Linked DNA regions of Oryzias latipes. The protein of the gene in region 1 purifies or fractionates together with the protein of each later gene. This does not show direct contact. Links are inferred from orthologs where the notes say so. Each region holds a gene or a part of one and is shown in the gene's direction. Other genes may lie near its edges.

Evidence for each region.
Region 2: the proteins of setdb1 (region 1) and atf7ip purify together in Homo sapiens (affinity purification with mass spectrometry; 6 studies listed by BioGRID and IntAct, counting the BioPlex papers as one, with this or other methods). This does not show direct contact. The link is inferred for Oryzias latipes from reciprocal best matches to the Homo sapiens genes SETDB1 and ATF7IP.
Region 3: the proteins of setdb1 (region 1) and faf2 purify together in Homo sapiens (affinity purification with mass spectrometry; 3 studies listed by BioGRID and IntAct, counting the BioPlex papers as one, with this or other methods). This does not show direct contact. The link is inferred for Oryzias latipes from reciprocal best matches to the Homo sapiens genes SETDB1 and FAF2.

The regions. Positions count from the first base shown.
Region 1 is NC_019874.2:19,105,119-19,109,488, forward strand, and holds the start of setdb1 (histone-lysine N-methyltransferase SETDB1), read left to right. Parts: upstream 1-1,481; 5' UTR 1,482-1,574; coding exon 1,575-1,591; intron 1,592-2,421; coding exon 2,422-2,625; intron 2,626-2,708; coding exon 2,709-2,875; intron 2,876-2,974; coding exon 2,975-3,018; intron 3,019-3,287; coding exon 3,288-3,414; intron 3,415-3,499; coding exon 3,500-3,670; intron 3,671-3,787; coding exon 3,788-3,989; intron 3,990-4,064; coding exon 4,065-4,138; intron 4,139-4,231; coding exon 4,232-4,370. UniProt on the Homo sapiens protein: Histone methyltransferase that specifically trimethylates 'Lys-9' of histone H3. H3 'Lys-9' trimethylation represents a specific tag for epigenetic transcriptional repression by recruiting HP1 (CBX1, CBX3 and/or CBX5) proteins to methylated histones.
Region 2 is NC_019859.2:10,792,893-10,796,374, forward strand, and holds part of atf7ip (activating transcription factor 7-interacting protein 1), read left to right. Parts: intron 1-2,808; coding exon 2,809-2,870; intron 2,871-3,380; coding exon 3,381-3,482. UniProt on the Homo sapiens protein: Recruiter that couples transcriptional factors to general transcription apparatus and thereby modulates transcription regulation and chromatin formation. Can both act as an activator or a repressor depending on the context.
Region 3 is NC_019868.2:20,367,339-20,371,633, reverse strand, and holds the start of faf2 (FAS-associated factor 2), read left to right. Parts: upstream 1-1,460; 5' UTR 1,461-1,523; coding exon 1,524-1,586; intron 1,587-2,628; coding exon 2,629-2,697; intron 2,698-3,058; coding exon 3,059-3,193; intron 3,194-3,398; coding exon 3,399-3,475; intron 3,476-3,565; coding exon 3,566-3,704; intron 3,705-3,811; coding exon 3,812-3,897; intron 3,898-4,295. Other genes in the region: pin4 (peptidyl-prolyl cis-trans isomerase NIMA-interacting 4), read left to right, coding at 398-556. UniProt on the Homo sapiens protein: Plays an important role in endoplasmic reticulum-associated degradation (ERAD) that mediates ubiquitin-dependent degradation of misfolded endoplasmic reticulum proteins.

The DNA.
Region 1 (4,370 bases):
TGCCCTCTTCTTCTTCTTTCTTCTCTGCTTCTTTTTGCTGGTGACGATTGTCCGCTGCGCTCAGCTGGTACTGGACCCTTACGGCGAAGTTTCTCCTTCAACATTCCTAGAAGAGGAAACTGAGGAATCATGACATGGATCCCCTGTGTATGACGGATGATCAGAAAATAAAATTGGAAACGCAAATTCTTTGGACAATTTCTACATTTTTGAATTTTGGTGGAATAGTTGTTGATCACTATCATGCAAGTATATGCGGTGGGGTTTCACGTGTGCTTAAGTGATGTGGTTTTACATTTTCTTAGGATTGTTTATGTTATAAAGTTAATCAATATTGACCTATGGGTTTCTCTTCCTTTGACCTAAAAGCTAGCTGGATAGGCTTCAGCAATCCCTATGACCCACAACACATTTATGCTACATTTTCTTGTTCTTGCTTTTTTTTTTTTACTTAATTCTAAGTCTTTTTTCCCTCTGCTGTCAGTTGCTATGGTGACAAACAAATTTCCCACGTGTGGGATCAATAAAGTATCTCTGATTCTGAAATAGCAGGTAATAGACGGATAGATGGATTTGTGAAAAATTATTTTAACAAAACAATTTTTTCTACAAATAAAGTGTTTTTATATCTATGTATGTATAGATAAATTTGCATAAATACTGGCTGATACAAACATTATTATTATTATTCATCAAGATCTGTATTTAACATTTTGATAGCCCTGAGTAAAAGCAACTGAACTTTTATTTCAGATGCTTTGTATTGTTTTTTTCCTTTTGTTCCAAGAATTTAGCACAAAAGTGACATTTTTTTGGGAAATTTTAAATAAATAATTTATTTCATTGCCAAAGTTGGTGAGTGTGACCTTCACCAACTAGGGGCTTTGGTACCTGTACAGAAATACATTTGAAATAGCACAAAACAACGTTCAATATTTATCATTGTCTGGTTAAAAAAAAAGTTGCTTTTGTTAACAGAAATAATTTAGGATAAATAAATGACTGCAATGTTTTTAAGCACTTTAACCAATACTAACTTTCTGATGCTCCTTAAGTTGAGAGTCCTTAAACGTCTACGGACATTTTTTAAGCAACGTAGAAATTACACCATGGAATTATTTTTAATACATCAAAACACTACTTGTTTAAATTAAGTAGATTAATCTGATAATGTTGTTTGTTCACAATAAAGTCTTTAAAAATGATGGTTAATGAGAGATTTAAAATTTACCAAACAAAATTAATCGAGTGTTCGCTTGTTTTGACCATTTTGAGCGAGGAGAACCAGGGCAATTGCGAATTGACGTTGATTTTTCCTTCCTATCTAACATTTGCTTAAAATCTTTACAGACCCCTGCAAATTTCTGAATATAAAAATATAATAACAAGAATCATATTTTTTGGTAGAACTTTTTGGACGCTGTTAAACGAATGAGTCGGATGTTTTGCTTCTACTTCACTAAGCCCACCTAACACCGCCCAGTCGGGATACCCTGGGAGCCACGTCAAGCGCTCCCTATTGTAGCTAGCTCGTAGCTTTAACGTAAGCTAGTTTTAAAGCATCGTCCCATAGAATGGAAAACGTTGAAGGGTATGTACTTTTTCCAGATGTTTTTTTTTTAATATAAAATACATAAGCCGCATCCTTAAGAACACCCCCCAGACGAAATAAATATGCACGTTCTACAGCCACCTACTTATGCACTCTTGGGTGTTTACGTTCATATGAAGCGTTTATGCTAAGCTAACCAGCTAGCATGCATCCAGTATCGAGCTCCAGCAGCATCTTGTCTCCACCATGCTGCTCTTTTAGCACCGTTTACTGAATCTGTGGAGATTTTAATTTGCAGCCCTTTCTTAAAAGAAAACTTGCTCTGTTTCTCCTTTTTCTGATTTTAAGTTATACTGTTTGTGCTAAAAAGGTAAAGCTAAACAAAAGAATTCATCCTAATTTGTAGACATTATTTTTCTGTAATGCTTTTAATATTTATTTAATGTGACGTAGTTGGTCCAAATTATTTAGTTCCACGATTTTCTTTCAAATTATTGACTAAGATCATTTGAGACCTTACTATCAGCTATTGATGGAAAGCCTGTTGTGTTTGTTGATGTGTTATCCCCAATATTTTGTTTTCTTTCCCTGCTTTACAGACTGTTTTTTTTAAATAAATCTCACAGTCTTTGTTTTTAATTGCTCTTTTATTGATTTAGTCACAGCATCTCTTTTGGTCTCCACATTTGTCATAGTAATTAATCATTTTAATATTTTAAAGCATTTCCAATTAATCTTCGCACAGTTTTTTGTATAGATCAAGAAAGTTTTATTTGATCATGGACACATTTTAGTTTTCATTTAAATGTTTTATTTTTAAATCTTTTTTTAATTATTCAACTTCTTTCTTACCGACTGTTCTTCTTCAGAATGGAGGTGGATGGCTGGGACTCCAGTCTGGAGGAAGAGTTTGGCATATCCCTGGATGAGCTGAAGAAATGGATTGATGAAGCTGTGGAAAAGAGCGACATTGTCCAGAAGAAGAAAGCTCAGCTGACGGAGCTTAAGGAATGGGTGGAGCAGAAAGAGGAAGAGGAGGCAAAGACGGAGATGCTGCTTACTGATGCCAACCAGTAAGAATGTGCTTCTGCCTTTGATTTATTTGTTGTGTCACCGTGTCTAGATGGTTGACGCCATGCTCCTCATTTCATTGCAGGTCTGTAATAGAGTGTGAGAAGCTGGTGAAGGAAGCTTGTAAGAAGAATGGTCTTGTTTATCGTGAGAGCGGCTCCGAGGATGAGGGAGGCGGAGGAGGTTCCCTGCCCTCTGAAGTTATAGAGATAGACGACGATGATGACGACGACGTTATTGCTGTTGGTTGTTGTAAGTTATATTAATTTGTCATGGAGAAAGTATGACTATACATTGATAAAAGATGTTTCCTCATTATTATCTTTTCCTGTTTTTAATTTACTCAATCAGTGGTTCCCCCAAACAAGACATTAACCCCCTCTAAAGACCCTGCGGTAAGAGATCAATTAAATGTTCGCAATAAACAAGTTGTTCTATCTTTAAATAAACATTTTTTATTTTATGTATGGAATGTTTCACAGAAGAAGGAAAAGTAATATGTATCTTTATTTTGACCAGATTTTGAAAAGATTTTATGCAGTTTAGGATAAAAAACATTAAGAAGACATTGGAAACGCTGAATGTTCTGCCTTTTCTTTGCCCTATCCATATGAAGTGAAGCAATAAAAAAACACAGTTACTTGATTTTTTGTTGTTAAAACAGTTAAAGGAAGCCTCTGCAGTTCTGCAGAAAACCTCCCACCAAGTTCAGAAGTTGGTCCAAATAGTCGCCAAGTCTCCAGCATCTGCTGCGTTGCTTCGATCTCCAACACAGCTCTCTGCTCCTTCAGGTGAGCAAATACTGATGCTCCTGCATCACAATTCTTCTTGATATCTTCCTCGACTTGCTCTCATTTGTGGCTCTTCTTCCTGCAGGTATTCAAAGCTCGGCACCAGCAGTGTTTGTGTCTCAGGCCCCATCCCAAGGAATGACTCAGCCGAGCCCAAACATAAAAGAAGATGAGCTCAAAATTGGGATGAACATTCTGGGAAAGAAACGCACGAAGACCTGGCACAGAGGCACTCTTGTTGCCATCAACCCTATTGGTGTGTTCTTTTCTCCAAGTTTCTTTAAATTAGTGCGTAAACACTTGTTGGGTTTTCCGGTATTTTTTACCTTTTTTAATTATTTCTTTTGTCTCTGGTGCTTCTGTCTAAAATCAGGAGGTGGGGTTTACAAATACAAAGTAAAGTTTGATAAAGGCAAGAGTCTGCTGTCGGGAAACCATGTGGCTTTCGACTACAACCCCACTCTGGAGAGTCTGTTTGTTGGGGCTCGAGTAGTTGCCAAGTACAAAGATGGCAACCTGGTGTGGCTGTATGCAGGAATCGTAGCAGAAATGCCCAACAACAAGAACCGCATGAGGTGGGTGCTCCCAAATCTAAAGAGGCCCTGTGCTGGTCATTATTTAAACAATTGCTGTCCCTGTATGTTTTGCAGGTTCTTGATCTTCTTCGATGATGGCTATGCTTCCTATGTGATACTTCCTGAACTTTACCCTGTTTGCAGACCTTGTAAGGGACTCTTTCCCAGATTTTAGTGATTTAAATGCACATTTTTTAATGAAGTTTTTAACAAAGAAGATCTTTCTTGTTTTTTGTTTACAGTAAAACACACTTGGGAGGACATAGAAGATGCTTCTTGTCGAGACTTTATCGAGGAGTATATCTCTGCCTATCCCAGCAGGCCGATGGTGCTCCTCAAGGCCGGCCAAATAATCAAGACGGAGTGGGAAGGAACTTGGTG
Region 2 (3,482 bases), on another chromosome or scaffold:
CTCAGCAGGCACACCAGGTCCAGGTTTCTGCTGATGCCCACAGTAGACACTCCTCCATACGTCAGCTTTGAGTCGTAGAGGAGAGAGGTGGATTATGATACTGCCCCAGCAGTGAGCAGGTTCCAACCATGGGGGACACCAGGAGTCCAAGTGGATGAAAGTCCTGACTGTTGTCCAAAACACGTATTTTTGCTGTTTGTTGCTTTGACACAGTCAGGACAATTTGGACCAACATCGATGATGGTGCTGCGAAAAATGAAAGTTTAGGGAAGAACTATAAGGACTGATATAGAGATGGAGATCTCCACAAGCCTTTTGATCGCCTCTACATGTCGTTGGTGTTCCTGCCAAGCCTTCTAGAACTACAAGAGACAAAATCACCCTTTGTCCAAGCCCCTACCAGCTAAGTTGATGACAAAAAAACAGATTCCAACTGATTCCAGTCCATATTTTGGAACATTCACATCAGTAACCCAGAAGAAGAAGCAAAAAATGATGGAAAGAAGGAACTCAAGGCTATGACAAAGGCCTGCCAGGATTATCACCAGCCAAGGAATGAAAGGATGACGATGTACAAGAAGGACAAGTTGACTTGTATTTCATATAATGGGGGCTGAGACTTTTTGTACTGGTTGAGTCGAGCACTCTTTTGTGAAATCCACCATATATACTGGAAAAAACTGCAACAGAACGTGGACCTTACGCAGCCATCCTATCCTGATACTGGGTGCCATATTTGCATATATATGAACTGTTCATGGACTCAGACAGCGGACGTTTGGAGCATGTGGCGGCTACAAGGAGAGCAGATGGATGCCCCAAAGGGGGGGAAGCAAATGCCCTATACAAAAATCTGGGAGAGGGCCCACTTGTCTGTGCTGCACCACCCATCCTGCATGTGCCACAGACTGGCGAGGAGTGGAGATGGACGCTGGGCTGTGAGAGACATGCCCTGTCCAACACTAACAGGAACATGGGTGGGGTTGACCCATCTGATCAGCTCAAACGGTATTACTCCGCCCACAGAAACCGGGCTCACTGATTCAGTACTGCCCTGCTGCACTTGTTGGAAAGGGGAACAACAAACATGTATACCTCGCACCTTGAGACGAGCAGAGCCAAGCTAATGCAGCTTGTGACACACAGACGTGATGGTGGAGATGGTTTAGTGTGAACAAGACAGGTTTTCCCCAGAGCAGGAGGCCGCATCCACATTCCCGTGCCCATCGACACAGATTCTGATAATGTCTAAAACACAGGGAGGCTGAAAAGCAAATGCAGCCTTCAGGTGATCAAGATCAGGAAAGACGCAGCTTTTGAAGTAAAGTGACTCTGTTTGTGAAGCTGGACAGGAAACTGCTTTGTGGATCTGCTCAAATCTCCTATTTATATATAAATAGGGGGGAAAAGCTTGGCTGCATTTTTAAACGTTAAACGTTGGGTCAAAAATTGAACATGATTGAGATGCGGTCATGTGAATTCGGCTGAAGTGATTTGAGTCTTGGTCTGAGACACTGGCTGAGACACTGGCTGCCTTTTCATTTAAAAAGTTGCATAGCTGCTAAAAGCCAAAAGGTTTGTTAAGTTTAGGTCCAGTGTAGCAAAAAGGGAAAGCTAGGTGAGGTTGTACTGAAAAAAAAATGCTACCAACCAGGGCAAGGTGAACTGTTTTATGGTGAAAATATAAAGATCAACTCAGACAAAAACGGCCAATCGTACCCTGGACTCCTAAGGGTTAAGTCTCACTTGTACGTCCAAAATCCTACAGATTGGTCGGGATGATAAAACATTTGTTTTATGAACCCTCAAAGTAAACCCCCCCCGTGGGTCGAGGTCCTGAGTCTTGTGACGTTCTACAATATGAAGCCTGAGCGTTTCTGCAGGCAGAGCAGTGTAGTTAAAACTGCACCTCTTCTTCCAACAGCGTGCTCCGTCGGCAGACAGTAGAGCCGCAGCCTGAGGTACCCAGAGAGGGAATGGCACCCTCTCTCGGTAAGACCCCTGCACTGTCTGTCAAGGTGGAAATGGAAGAAGAGGACATGGGGTACGAGCAAGAGACAGATGTCTCACACCAGATTGCCATGGCGACAAAGCTGGCAGAGTTCAGTGAAGGAAGATGCAGAGCTGAAGTTAAACTCCGCCCGATTTCTTCCCATTTGGAGAGCGTGTTGTACAACAACTGCAAGCGAAGCTCAGGAACCCCCAGGCCTGACCGTTACGCATCTTACCTTTTCCGCTACTTGGTCCCTTATGACACCTACTGTGACTGGGTGGCAAAGGTCAATTACGTTGGATTAATGGGAAAGGAGGCACTGCCCACAAACTTGAGGAGAGCAATGAGGATGTACATTGACCGTCGGTTTCCTTTACTGTCAACTGAGAGGTGGAGAGAGATTCGTGACGTAATCAATGAGATACTCAGAGTCAAGAGAAGACCGGAGTTTTTTCGAGAATATGACGGAAGGACTACAATGTTAATTTGAGGCTGTCACACAATCATAAGCATTCTGGGACAATTGTCATGAAGCACAATAATCAAACGGTATTTAATCTTTTGTCTTTCATGCAAACACGTAGAAGGACATTAAGACCTGGTGACTTGACACTCCAAACCGCTTAACCCCTTAACATCATACCATAAACTTGGGCAACCATTTTGTAAATTGAACCTTCATGCAAGCTGTTTTACTGTGTTGAATGGAATAAAACGAGGTGTCCACGCCCTCTTCTGTTCAATTGTTGTGCTGTCATGGACGCAAAGGGCTTCCTATGTCTTCAAGTCTAAGCATGAGCAATCTTTCTGAACAGGCCGGTCCGTGCTACCGTCGAAGTAAAGCAGACTCCAACCGTTCCTTCGTCTAGCTCTGCTGGTGAGTAGCAGCATTTTTTTTCCAAAGTGGAATTCTGTGTCCGTCTGTACGAGAACAACGGAGACGGTTGATAGATTTTGGGGCTTCAGTCTTGGCAGCAGAATGTGTTTTTCATTTAAACAAGTTCTGGACATCACTGCCATGTTTCTAAACCAATTTGATTTACAGTCACAGGTTGATGATTTGAATACATTTAGGATTTGGTGTGAATGGACTAAATATTGATTCATGTTTAAAAATTGTTTGGGTATTAAAAAATGGATTTAAGCCACCCAAATCAGGAGCAGCTTGCAGAAAATCTGTAATTTTGTCTTAACAAATACAAAAATCAATCCACTTCATGACTCTGACAGTCTAGATCCTTATTTATTCATGTTACCTAGTCCTAAACCATCTTGTTGTGGGTTTAGGTTGTATCTGCCTTTCAGAAAATACTAAAAATATTCACGTTTACTGCTCCATGGAGCGTCCTCCTCCTAACTGACCTGAACTCTTTCTGCTTGTTCCCAGTTGTTTCGGTCCAAGCACCTTTACCTGCCTCTGTTGCAGCCTCGACCACCTCCGGCACCTCCACTGCCATGGTTCCACAGGGCTCCATCCTGCAGCTCATAA
Region 3 (4,295 bases), on another chromosome or scaffold:
TAAACATAGCTATGTTGTGGCTAAGCTGTTTTATTTGTTTTCTACTATTAAGAGCGATTCTCTTTTATATTTCAATAGATGACAGTGAATGTTCAAAACATACAACATAACTATACAGTTATGCTAGAATTAAGCTAAAAGGCTAGTTTTCATTTAGACTTCTTGGTCAGTCAAAAAGCCATGAAGAAAATCCACAAACCATATTAAAAAAGAACAATTAGAAGAAAGACACACAGAGTGTAAACTGTGTTACAGTAGATTTTACAAAAGGTCATAGTTAAAAATGAGCATTCTATACCAAGGGAAACAAAGAGTCTATCAAATTAATATAATATTAAGTAAATTAAATTATTATTACAATTTTTTTGTGGTTCCCTCATCATTGTGTTGTCAACAGGGTGACCTGGGCTGGATGACTCGAGGATCAATGGTCGGACCTTTCCAGGAGGCGGCGTTTGCGTTACCCATCAGTTCAATGGACAAACCGGTTTATACAGACCCTCCTGTCAAGACAAAGTTTGGGTATCACATCATTATGGTTGAGGGGAAAAAGTAAAATTAGCCTCTCTCTCTATGAGATTGGACAAAACAGTGATATGTGCAAAAGCCAAAAGGACCAGACAAACATATGATTGAAACTTGCGCAGCAATTTTGTGAACTACTTCAACAAGATTGGCTTTTGGAATTTTCTGGATTTTTCTTTGCAGTTTAAGGTGTTTCGTTGAATTCCAATAATAAAATAAAGACGTTCCAAATAAATGCCTTTTTTAATCATTTGGTGTCAATTGTGTGATACTTTCAGAAAAAAACAAAGATAAAATCATGTTCTGGTATTCTGAAAAGTAAGATTCACTTTTATAAATGTGAACATGACTATATTACATATAAAATGTGCTTTATGGACATTTGTTTTACATTTTAAATACTTTTACTGTATACTTTTACTTTTAACTTACCCCAATCATATTTAATAAAAAAATGATAGGTAAATCTAAGCAATTTTAGAAAGATACTAAATAATTACAATAATTATACTGTAATGACAAAATTAATAATATCTATCTATGTATATCTATCTATCTATCTATCTCTCTCTATATATATGTGTGTGTGTGTGTGTGTGTGTGTATGTATATATATATATATATATATATATATATATATATATATATATATACACACACACACACACATATATATATAGAGAGAGATAGATAGATAGATATATGTGTGTGTGTGTATATATTGATATACAGTATATATTTATATATATAGATATATCTATTTACATAAAGACAAATTAATTTAAATAACGAAGACTGGTGTTATTTTTAGCTTTTAATTAAACACTATATTGTTAGTTTCTTTTTTTCTTTCTTTATATTTTTGTATTTTTATTTGTTGGTCTTCTGGGTGACAGCCAGAACAGTAGGGGGCAGCACGCTGCACACCGCGTGACGGAACCGCACCAGGAAAAGACGGTTGACGTTGTTAAGCCTTGCTAGATGATTGGCGAGGTAAGATGGCGGCGCCAGAGGAGCCAGAATTATCCCAGGCGCAGACCGAAAAACTCCTTCAATTTCAGGTAGACAGACTAAGTTTTTTTCATTTCCACACACATGTGTGATAGCTTGTGTGTCGGTATGTTTTTGCCGATAGTGAGTCACCGTTAACTTGTTAAGATTTGTATGTGGGAACCCTTTTTGCACGGTCAACTTCGATAATTCCCCCCAACGTCAACTTGAGTCAGAGCTGGCGTTAGCGAGGCTAGCTAAAATAGCTAAGCTAGTTAACTAGTTAGCCGACTTTCAGGGACACAGAGTGGCTTTAAAAACGCTACTTTTATTTTGTGTTGTAAAAAAAAACACAACCAGTCCTTATCTTAAATATTCTACCTACCTTCGTACTATTTTCTTTTTTTTTTAATTTAAATACCATTTTAGGTTTTCACTGACGTTCCCTATGAGCATTAGCACATCTGTCATTCTAACCTGATTCTTTCTGGAGTTTTAGGGAGAAAAGAAAAACCGTTCCAGTTGTGTCAATAGATCTTACGTTGCAACACAGAGACTTGTCTGCTCGTGTTTGTCGTTATACCCGAGATCAGAATTCTTCAGACTGTAGGAGGATCGCCTCTCAGTCACATTTAACGTAATTGTTTGTGGATTCATTTTTTTCGCGTAATCTTTCAAATCCCAAGTTTCTGTTACAAACGAGCAGGCCAGAGCTTACATTTGAAAACAAAAGTCAATTTACTGCCACATAAAGGCTACATTAGTGAGATCATTAGTCTGTCAGCTACATCATCATGCTGTTTCTATTTTTTTTTTCAGCCATTTCAGAGCCCTAAATATTTATAAAATCATTGTTTGTTTGTTTTTCCTCATAAAAATCTGTTACTCTTAAGTTCTTCGAGGCTGCCAACCTGTGGTGAACTAATGATCTAATACTGTGAGAGGAATGTTGATAGATCTATTTGTGTCTGTTTAAAAGCTTTTTTATTTTTTTTTATTTTTTTAACATTAAATTTGAGGCTTAAGGAGGGGGACCTTGGCAAAAAAAATCTGACTAGTTTTACATTCTTTCCGCTGTCATCATCAGCTTGACTTTCACTTCACGTTTAACAGGATTTAACAGGTTTGGAATCAATGGACCAATGTCGCCGAACATTAGAGCAACATAATTGGAACATAGAGGTATGTTTTCTTTTTTCTCCAAATATATGCTCACATTGTGGACCCTATGAGGGTCTCTTTGAAAAATCAGTGAACAGTTTTTAATGTCGAATCAGCAGTTATTGATTAACTGCTACTGTGAATAGGAGACATTGGAGAAGCAATTGTTTTGACTTTTAACCACTGAAAGAAACTGTATCATTACAATTAAATTACATTAAAACAAAAATAATGATTCAAACGGGTATTTTAATTTGTCATTGGATTTTCATTTTGCTTGCTTGAATGTACAAACTGAAAATTCTCTGATCACTGTCCAAACAATTGGAGCTTCAGCTATTGTAAAGTGTGACTGTCTAGAAATGCTGTGTTTGGTTTTCAGGCTGCAGTGCAAGACAGACTCAATGAGCAGGAAGGAGTTCCTAGTGTGTTCAATCCTCCTCCATCCAGACCGCTTCAGGTTAACACAGCAGACCATAGAGTTTATAGTTACATCGTTTCACGGCCTCAACCCCGGGTATGTCTTTATTCGTATTATCTCAACCCCAGATAAGATTAGTAGAAAAAAATTGTTTATTCTAGCTTGATATGTATGGTCTTTGAAACTATGGCACTGTTGTTTTTCTAGAAGTCGTCTCTGTTTTTCTTTTGATTTGTCATTGTGTGTTGCTGTTCAGTTTTTATTTATTTATTATTAATTGCTATTAAATGCTATTTTGCAGGGATTACTAGGATGGAGTTACTACTTGATAATGCTCCCCTTCAGATTTACATATTACACACTCCTGGACATATTCAGGTAATTGAATCACATCTGCTTAAGGTACTTTTGCTCATTTATGCATTAAAGCAATAGAGTTTCACATGTGTCCTCCCCTTTATTTTCAAGGTTTGCCCTACGGTTCATTAGGCCAGATCCTCGCGGTCGCGTGACAGACCCTGTTGGAGATGTGGTGTCTTTTATTCAAAGTTTTGAAGAGAAGTATGGCCGGTCACATCCTGTGTTTTACCAGGGGACCTACAGCCAGGTGAAAAGATAGTTGGAGAGAATAGAAACACATTTAACAGAAGCGGATAGATGGAATGGCATAGAAACTGAGCACGTTTGTGTTGTCTGTTTGTGTTTGCTTTGCAGGCACTGAATGATGCCAAACGGGAACTCCGCTACCTGTTAGTGTATCTTCATGGAGACGACCATCAAGACACAGACGAGTTTTGCCGGTATAGTAATCATCTTTGTGTTGTGGCCATCTGGACTCCTGAATATGTAGCACTCATTCAAAGACTGTTGATATATTAGCCCAATAGAGCTGTTACGAGTATCTGAATACTCGAATATTTACAATCTGTTCCCGAAAATGCAACTACAATGTGATGTCAGAGATTTCCGAATTATGATCTTCCAAATACCAAAAATCTAATTATGTTGTCTGAAGTGTATTTTTACTATGAAATGTAGTGAAAATACACTTCAGACCATGTAATTACTGCTCAAAGATGCTATTAAATTACAAATTTTCAGTTTATATACTAAACAAACTGAATGTGCAACTGTTAGGGAAGTAAATGAAATTTCAGAGTAAAGTGTCGGTGAAGGTTCTTATTTTCTAATGACTTAG